2 linked regions of the Nothobranchius furzeri genome follow. The protein of the gene in region 1 interacts with the protein of each later gene in a pairwise test. Links are inferred from orthologs where the notes say so. Each region holds a gene or a part of one and is shown on either strand. Other genes may lie near its edges.

Region 1 (4,426 bases):
CCCACCACCAGCTCCTCCAATGAGACCTCCCGGTCCCCCGTCCGGCCCACCTCCTGGCCCCCCACCAGGTTAGCTTCATTCAGAAGAGATGACTGTTTTGGTGGCGGGACGCGTTTCTTATTTTCTCTTCTGTTTAGGCGCTCCTCCGTTTTTGAGGCCACCTGGTATGCCCGGAGGAATTAGGGGCCCGATGCCTCGTCTTCTGCCCCCTGGTCCTCCACCAGGTCGACCCCCTGGTCCTCCGCCAGGCCCTCCTCCCGGTCTTCCACCAGGTCCTCCACCCCGCGGACCCCCACCCAGACTACCACCCCCGGCACCACCAGGTAGGTGTATAAAGCTACAAGGAGGTACTGCGTAGTTTAATGGATGTGACTGCACACACCTCAGTGGTCAGCGGTTCCATCAGGACAGGTCTTCTCGTTGCCGGGTTGTCCTCTGTGACTTTTCCAGGTGTTGCATTCAGCTCCGTTTCCAACCAGACGACTCTGTTTCAGGGTAAAGCTCACGAGCCCATGCTTGAAAACTGCTCACCACGCACTCTGTAGCGACACGACAGACCTTCGGACCCGTAAACCCGGGAGCGAGGTGAACGTCGTGCTGCTACCGGCGTCTGTTGTCCCTCAGGCTTGCCGTAGTTAGAGGAGGACGCGCTGGGGTTCATGGGGTTGGAGGTAGAGGAAGGAATGACATTCAGGAAGTAACCCGAGGTTTGGGGATCCAGGCAAAAATGCTTAGAGACACTGTGTGTGTGTGTGTGTGTGTGTGTGTGTGTGTGTGTGTGTGTGTGTGTGTGTGTGTGTGTGTGTGTGTGTGTGTGTAGACACGGAAGTGGCTGGGCAGCCGTGGTGCTGCTCAACAGTGTCCCTCACCAGCAGAATTTCACACGTTTGATTTTCCTGCCACCGCGTGATTGCCAGTCGGGGGCTGGTCGCGAGGCGTTGGTCGCTTTGGTGACCCCGGTATACGACACAAAGCTCAACGCAGAGCTCGGCTCGACCTCCCAGACTGGAGACGAGTGGAAAATTGGTAAAATGGTAAACGGCCTGTATTTGATACAGCGACTTCTAGAGTCCTGGAACCCCCCAAGGCGCTTTACAGTGGCGGCGCCAGGGGGTTGCTAGGGGGCGCTATAGCTACCCCTGGATTAGTCATTGCACCCCCATAGCACCCCCAAGTAAATATTAGATTTATTTTTTTACAATTTAATTTTAATTTAACGTGTGGATGTGATCATATTTAACATACAAAACAAAAATAACCAGTAAATTATCATATAGATAGTAAAAATCTAAACAAAAACAGGTAATTGGTGTTAATCTTTGACCTTATTTTCCACCTGCGAACAAGTGAAAGGTAGAGCTAGGGGTAAAATGGATCGGTTTTTGTTGCCCACATTTCCACGGGTTCAGTCAGAAACGAATGAATGTTTGGAAGTGATCTCAGACCCACAAAAACCTACGGATCTGGATGAAGAGAGCCAACCCTCAACCGCCGCAGCAGTCCAGGGTTTTGCCGCTGAAAATGCGAACGCTAACGTTAGCTAACCTTGCAACACTATAGGTGGTTTTCTGTGTGGCTGTGTGTGTTTATGATTTCATGGAAAAGTCAGCGATTGTTCATAAGTTTATGATGTTTATTAATGATTGTTTCAAGTGTTGTTGAGGTGTTGTGCACGCATGTGTATCTGCTAGTGTTGAAGGTGTTTTAGAGAACAATATGTATGCATGACCACTTCCTTCATAGCACCCTCATTAAAAAGACTAGCTCCTTCATAGCACCTGCAGAAAAACATTTCTGGAACCCCCCCAAGGCGCTTTACAACACAATCAGTCATTCACCCATTCACACACCTCAGGGGGCGCACCGACAGAGGCGAGGCTGCCGAGAACTGGCGCCACCGGTCCCCCCGACCACCACCAGTAGGCATGGTGGGTTAAGTGTCTTGCCCAAGGACGACAGCAACAGACTGAGTGGGGTTCGAACCTGCAACCTTCCGGTTACGGGGCGAGCTCTTCACTCCTGTGCCACCGTCGCTCAAATCGGCTCAGAATGGGCAGAAAATCACACTTTGCTCGTATGCCCGGCTTTAGTGAGCGTGTGTGTCTGGGGGCGGGACTAAAAGCAGGAAGAAGCGGTCCTAAGCGTGAGGTAATCCCTTTTCCTGGGCCTTTTATGAATAATTAGAACCTTTCCGTGCTTTTTTGATCGATTCGTGCTGACTAATGGAGTCGTCCACCCAAAGATCAGTGAGAGAACATTGTCTCTGCATGCGAGTCCTTGTTATGTGTACAGCTAGCTGGTAGCTACTGACCCGGGTGTCCTCCTTTATGCCTGGGTGAATAACTAATGTGATTGGCTCAGACTTGCATTTAGGAGTTGTGCCGGTTATAAACCACCTGCTGTGAATTCAGACAGGAACTGACCCAAAACCACCGCTACAGGGTCTCGTTGGGGTTCTTCTGGTCTAGTGCAATAACGGGGTTCACGCTCACGCAGAGACCAATACTAGCACTGGCTCTGTTCACACGTATGTTTTTGTGATTCTTTTCAGGTATCCCACCTCCCCCTCCAAGAGCAGGAGGGCCCCCTCGTCCTCTTGCACCGCCACTCACCATGTTTCCACCACCGCTCAGCTCCAGTGTGCTCAGCGCGCCGCCCAGCATTGTTCAGAGGCAGAAAGGTCCAGGATCCAGCCAGGATGGTTCACAGGGCAACATGCCCCCCCCTGCCATGTCCATGCGACCCGGGGTCATGCAGATGCCTCCTCCTCCTGGGACAGCCGCTGCTTCCGCGGGGGCAAATCCCGGCGGCCACCACATGGCCACCATCGAAAAACGAGCCAACATCACTTCTGCTGCAGCCGCTGCAGGCGGCCTGGCTGCAGGCGCCGGCGCTGGAGGGGCTACCATCTCCGCCAAACCTCAGATTATCAATCCCAAGGCAGAGGTCACTCGCTTTGTGCCCACTGCGTTGAGGGTGCGCAGAGACAAGACCGGAGCCATGCCAGGGGCAGCAAGCGGACACCTGGAGAAGGTGGGGAGTGCTGGAGGAAGGAGGGGCGATGAAGGCCATGGAGGAGGCCACTGGCAGAAACAGCATGCAGCTGCAGCTTCGCTGGGTTTGGCTAAAGCATCCCAAGGAGGCTCTGTGTCTCAGCCCAGCATGAAGACTAAAGACCAGGTTTATGAAGCCTTTATGAGGGAGATGGAGGGACTGCTCTGAGACTCTGGAGTATCGGACAAATTGTTGTTTTCTCTGGGCTCTTTGAGCTTCAGGAGTGGATCGTTTTTGTGTGTCCAGAATGATAGAAGTAGCTGTATTCAGATCGTTCAACCAAATCAGTCTGGAGAAAATACAGTTATTTATAAATTCACCTGAGTTATGGTTTTTCCAAACAACCAAACACTGTCCTGCACAGAAGTGAATCTTCTCTTACAAGTTTATTTTCTAACAAGTTGTGTTCCTCCGCCATAAAAAGCTGTTTTTTTAATGGTTTTTACTTTTGTTTCTTTTATAGTTATTCATTTGAATGTGAAAACAGGAAAATGTAGAGTATTTGTCCTACAATGGCAAAATCCATGTCTGACAGTTTGAAATGCAGCTAAATAAACACCTGAAAACAACGTTAATCTGTTGTGTTTGATCATCGTGTTGTGTTTCAGACACACCGGCAGTAAGAGGGGATTCATTAGAAGTAGATCAGATTTCATTCTTAACCCAAGTGGACATTAATTGTGCTGAGAAGTAAGTTATGTAGGACAGCAGAGGAACACGTAAACAACAATTCCCATCAGTCCTCGAGGTTTCACGCATGAGCGTTGCAGATCTGGCAGGAGGCGTCATTTGGAATTCTAGGATGTCCAAGGAAGATCTCGCCATTCTCGTCTCTGATTGGCTAGAAAGGCTCTACTACGGCTGGCTATTTCATTTAACAGCAAACTGGCTGTCCTCTAGTGATGGGAATTCCGGCTGTTTTTAGAGAGCCGGCTCTTTCGTCTCCCAAGTGGCTCCTCAGATTTTCTGTTGCGTAGAGTACATTTATAACCAAAATAATGCAAAACTATATATAAAATGATTTACTGATGTAAAAAATGCTATATATCAAATATTTATCATTTCTATGGATTTAATAACTGAACACTTTAACAAATCTCCACTTTCCCACTGCTGGAGCTCATTTTCTCACCGTCTTTGTAGCACTCTCCTCTCTCTCGCTCGCCTTTTTCCTCCTTATTCCCTCTCGTCTCCCTCCACCCGCATGTGCTCTGCTGTGTGTCTGAGTCTGATCCTCCCTCTTCCCCGCCCCTACTGCTCTGTGTGTGGACAAGCTGGACATGCAGTCACACATGTTGACCAATTACCTGTAGCTTTCCCCAAAGCAAGAGGGGAGGGGGGAGGGGACGGCTCCCAATGACGAGCCGGCTCC
Region 2 (4,815 bases), on another chromosome or scaffold:
ATGTCCTCGGTTTGTGTCCTTCCAGTGAGCTTTGCAGATGTGGGAAAATGTCATCAGGCAGTAATCGTTAAATTCATAATTATTCTCGGAGAGAGACCAACTCTTATCTGCCCCTGGGAGCCCCGTAATGCATAGCCTCATTTCAACATGGGGGTGTCCGCGACACGGTTTATGTGTAGGTAGCGGCGCTGCGGCTGCTTTATATAGCGACTCGTTAAATTCTCCCTCAACCCAAATCCTCGGATCACGCATTTTAGCTAAAACGCTAACGTTAGCTTGCCTTGCGTTGACTGTCATGACATTTGAAGCGTTGCTGCCTTTCACAAACACTTTTTCTGCACGTGCTGCAAACAGGATAGCCGTCTTCTATCAGCTGTCCCTCGACATTCTTCAAATATCCAAAAATGCCCGTACTTCCCACTTTGTCTTCTTTGAGGGATGAAAAATATCCCCCTGAGCGTTGCCGTCTCCTCCTTTAGCCATTATTTCAGTTTTAGCTTCAAGAAAGTTTTGGTTGTAAACAACAAAGTGTGCATGTGCCGCCGGCAACTTCAGCAGATGATACGGTGGCTGGTAAGGGTCACCGCACCTACACTGCAGCCACGGTAGTCCACCGAGATATATTTTTTTAAAAACAAGACGGTTATTATTATTGTCAACTTTTTTTTTTTTAAAGATTAATGTTGATATTGGCCGATATTAATGGTTAGGGATGTGTATTGGTGAAATTCTGGCAATATGATACGTATACATCCAGTCAGATGTTATTAGCAATTATTTTAGACTGAATTTATTGTTGGAATACTGAATAAACAGTCCACAGTGATACTTAACATGTTTAACATGAGGTATCTGCACCATAACAGAGGGTTTACATTTCAGTGGTGGAAACAAAACCCACTGCACCCTGCTGCCAACTTGCGGTCGACATTTAAATTGCATCTTTGAATATCAATATAATATTGCAGGAAAATATATCACAGTATATTGCCAAATAGATATTTTCTTGCATCACTATTAATGGTAGAATATTATGAAACCTCCCTAGTTGCAGGTTTTAGTCAGCTCTGTATGAATGAGTGTATATTTATAGCAGGACGGACTTTTCTGACCTCATCAGCACAGAGACTGGGCCCTCTAAAGTTGTAGAGCTCCTTAAGAATGGAATATTCTTCCTGGAAAGGCAAACAGAACTCGGATCAGCTTTAATTCAGATCTACAGTGGGACACCATGAAGACAGACACAGGGACAGAGGGAAGGAGTGAGCGGGAGACCAACACGTGGATGGGGCACAGCTGTTGATGCAACACTGATATCTGCTGCATGGGAGGCTTACCTCTGTGTACAACTCCTTAAAGGGATTTTTACAGGAGAAGAAATCCAAGTCAATGTCCAGGACATATGCATCTGCTACGTTAAGAACTGAAGCTATTCTCTCAACAACGTAGCTGGTTGATCCATCGCGGTCGTCTCCATCTCTGAGATGTTGCTCCTTGCTGTTGCTGCCCTCTGCTGGCTGTGGTGCTACACTTCCTGATGAGAGGGCTGAGGAACAGCTGGTCTCCCCGTCCTCATCTGTCCGAGATCTCTTAGCTGAACACCTCTCGGTGTCAAACCCTGAAATCCAGAGCCAGACAGAAAAGCAATGATAAATATAGGGAAAGATGGAGCGCGAGATCGATAGGCTGATTGGTGCTGCGTCTGCAGGGATGCGGGCGTTGTACCGGCCTGTCGTGGTGAAGAGAGAGCTGAGCCGGAAGGCAAAGCTCTCAATTTACCGGTCGAGCTACGTTCCTACCTTCACCTGTGGTCACGAGCTTTGGGCAGTGACCGAAAGAACGAGACTGCGGGTACAAGCGGCTGAAATTAGATTTCTCCACAGGGTGGCTGGGCTCTCCCTTAGAGATAGGGTGAGAAGCTCGGTCATCTGGGAGGGGCTCGGAGTAGATTCACTGCTCCTCCACATCAAGAGGAGCCAGTTGAGGTGGCTCAGGTATCTGAGTTGGACGCCTCCCTGGTGAGGTTTTCCGGGCACGTCCAACCGGTAGGAGACCTAATGGAAGACCCAGGACATGGTGGAGGGACTATGTCTCTTGGCTAGCCAGGGAGCTCCTTGGGATTCCCCCACAGGAGCTGGCCCAAGTGGCTGGGGAGAGGGAAGTCTGGGCTGCTGCCCCGCGACCCGACCGGATAAGCGGCTGAAAATGGATGGATGATTAGTGAGAATGACAGTAAAACTGCTTTCCTAAAACTCATTTGTAATAGAACAGTATTTTATAAAAACAAAAGCCAATGGTCTACAAATTTTCTGTGTCAGAACTAAACTGGGAACAACTTCCTGTAAAAGTTTATTTCATGTTTGAAGAAGGAAACGTGTCTTTACAATAATAAGTAAATAGCAGCTATTGTCTAGTTGAAGTCTAGGTCAGTCTGCAGAGTCCTTGTCTTGGTGCTTGTTTGGTCCTTAGAGCGCCGTCTAAAAGCACGCCCTGAACATTTTTGATCCTGTTATTTCGTGTTTATACGCTTTTACTCGTCTCGTCTTCCTCCACTTATCCGGGTCCGGGTCACGGGGGCAGCATCCCAACTAGGGAGCTCCAGACCGTCCTCTCCCAGGCCACCTCCACCAGCTCCTCCGGCAGGACCCCAAGGCGTTCCCGGACCAGATTGGAGATGTAACCTCTCCAACGTGTCCTGGGTCGACCCGGGGGCCTCCTGCCGGCAGGACAAGCCCGAAACACCTCCCCAGGGAGGCATCCAGGAGGCATCCTGACCAGATGCCCAAACCACCTCAACTGGCTCCTTTCGATCCGGAGGAGCAGCGGTTCTACTCCGAGTCCCTCACCCTATCTCTAAGGCTGAGCCCGGCCACCCTACGGAGGAAACTCATTTCGGCCGCTTGTATCCGCGACCTCGTTCTTTCGGTCATTACCCAAAGCTCATGACCATAGGTGAGGATTGGGAAGTAGATCGACCGGTAAATCGAGAGCCTGGCTTTCTGGCTCAGCTCCCTCTTCGCCACGACAGATCGGCTCAGCGTCCGCATCACTGCAGACGCCGAACCAATCCGCCTGTCGATCTCCCGATCCCTCCTACCCTCACTCGTGAACAAGACCCCGAGATACTTAAACTCCTCCACTTGAAGTAGGACCTCTCCCCCGACCCGGAGTTGGCAAGCCACCCTTTTCCGGTCGACGCTTTTACCTCATGTTTTATTCACTTGTTACAGATTTCAGAATCAAAACTCCCTTATTTGAAGCTTTTGATGTGTTTTTTCTCTAAATCCTGATAATAACCGTGTTTTCTCTTCATTAAAACTATTAATCACATGTATTTGTATTAAGTTTACTGGTTTATAATTTCCTTTATGCCCATGGATGAGAGAATAGGTGCTTTTAATGTTCATTATCAGAGAAAAACTCTTTAAATGTGAATGTTAGGGCTCATACTGAGCCAGCTTCTGTTGGAGGTTCTTCCTGTTAAAGAGGAGTTTTCCTCTCCGCTGTCGCGACATGCTTGCTATTAGGAAAGCTGTGGAGTCCCAGACTCGATGCACCTGCTGGGTTCCTTATGAAGGAAACTTTTAACTATAACTGGCATCATGAACTGAACTCAACTGGAATGTGCCCGAGACGACTCTGTCCTGGTTTGTCGCTAAATAAAAAAACTGAATTGAAATACGGAAAAATCTCTGGAGGTGGCAACCAGCTGGAGGCGTTTTACGACACAACAGTCACTCACCAATTCACGTGCTGGAGGTGATGAGCTACGTTGTACCAGAAGTAAGGCCACCTGTCCCTTTGACTACCACTGCATAGAGGGTGAAGTGTCTTGCCCAAGGACAGAATGGCTGCAACAGACTGAGTGGGGCTCGAACCAGCAACGCTGCAGTTACAGGGTGGGAACTTAACTCTTTCGTGGGGGAGGGTGCAAAAGTAAAAAGACACACCCCTTTCTTAGCAAGATCAGAGTCATGGCCTCCTCTGACTCCTAGAGTCTCCTGACTAAACACACAACAATACACAACTTTTTTTTCCGGAACTGCGCTGCTCTGGGTGGCTGCATGTTGGAGTAGCTCTGTTGACTATATGTAAGTTTAGCCTTTTCTTGGGCATTTTTTCTTCTAGTTTCTCAAGAAAAACTGTATTTTTTTGGGACGCTTTACTTTTCTGTTTCTGGTGCTGTGAAGCTTGGAGGATTTTTACTGCTATTTTTCAGCTTTTGTCACATTTTGAGCATTTGTTATGATGCGTAACCATGGCAACAAGCTGGTTTACAATCGGAAGCAGCTGATTAACATTGGAAAGGCTGAAATAATACCTCAACTGAAGCCACAAATCCCAAATGAGCTAAAACGCAAGAAGCGTGGGTGCAGAGCGAGGAAGAGGAAATTCAAACCATCTCTTCCATCGATCATAATGGACAATGTGAGATCACTGGCCAACAAGATGGAGGAACTCCAAGACCTTTTAAGGACTCGGCCAGAGTTTCGGCAGTTTCGGAACCGCTGGAGGAGATGATGCAAAGAAGGATTCTCCAGAGAATCAAGAAAATGATGGACAACCCTGAGCGTTCTCTTCACAAGACTGTCCGACAACGGAAGTGTCTTCAGTCAGAGGCTTCTTCAGTTTGGCTGCAACACTGACCGCTACTGGAGATCCTTCCTGCCAACAGCCGTTGTAATATACAACAACTCTTTGGTGACTTGATTATTATTATTATTCTGAGCTACTACAGCAATCAATTTCCCTCTGGGATTAATAAAGTGTTTTTGAATTGAATTGAATTGAATCTAACCCTGGCCTACTTCCTAA

Evidence for each region. The genes of interacting proteins can lie anywhere in the genome.
Region 2: the proteins of wbp11 (region 1) and c11h5orf22 interact in binary tests that used the Homo sapiens proteins (3 or more experiments, as listed by UniProt). The two-hybrid records come from large-scale screens. The link is inferred for Nothobranchius furzeri from reciprocal best matches to the Homo sapiens genes WBP11 and C5orf22.

The regions. Positions count from the first base shown.
Region 1 is NC_091752.1:67,489,375-67,493,800, reverse strand, and holds the end of wbp11 (WW domain-binding protein 11), read left to right. Parts: coding exon 1-68; intron 69-137; coding exon 138-323; intron 324-2,551; coding exon 2,552-3,222; 3' UTR 3,223-3,495; downstream 3,496-4,426. UniProt on the Homo sapiens protein: Activates pre-mRNA splicing. May inhibit PP1 phosphatase activity.
Region 2 is NC_091751.1:66,277,871-66,282,685, reverse strand, and holds part of c11h5orf22 (UPF0489 protein C5orf22 homolog), read right to left. Parts: intron 1,619-4,815; coding exon 1,338-1,618; intron 1,176-1,337; coding exon 1,113-1,175; intron 1-1,112.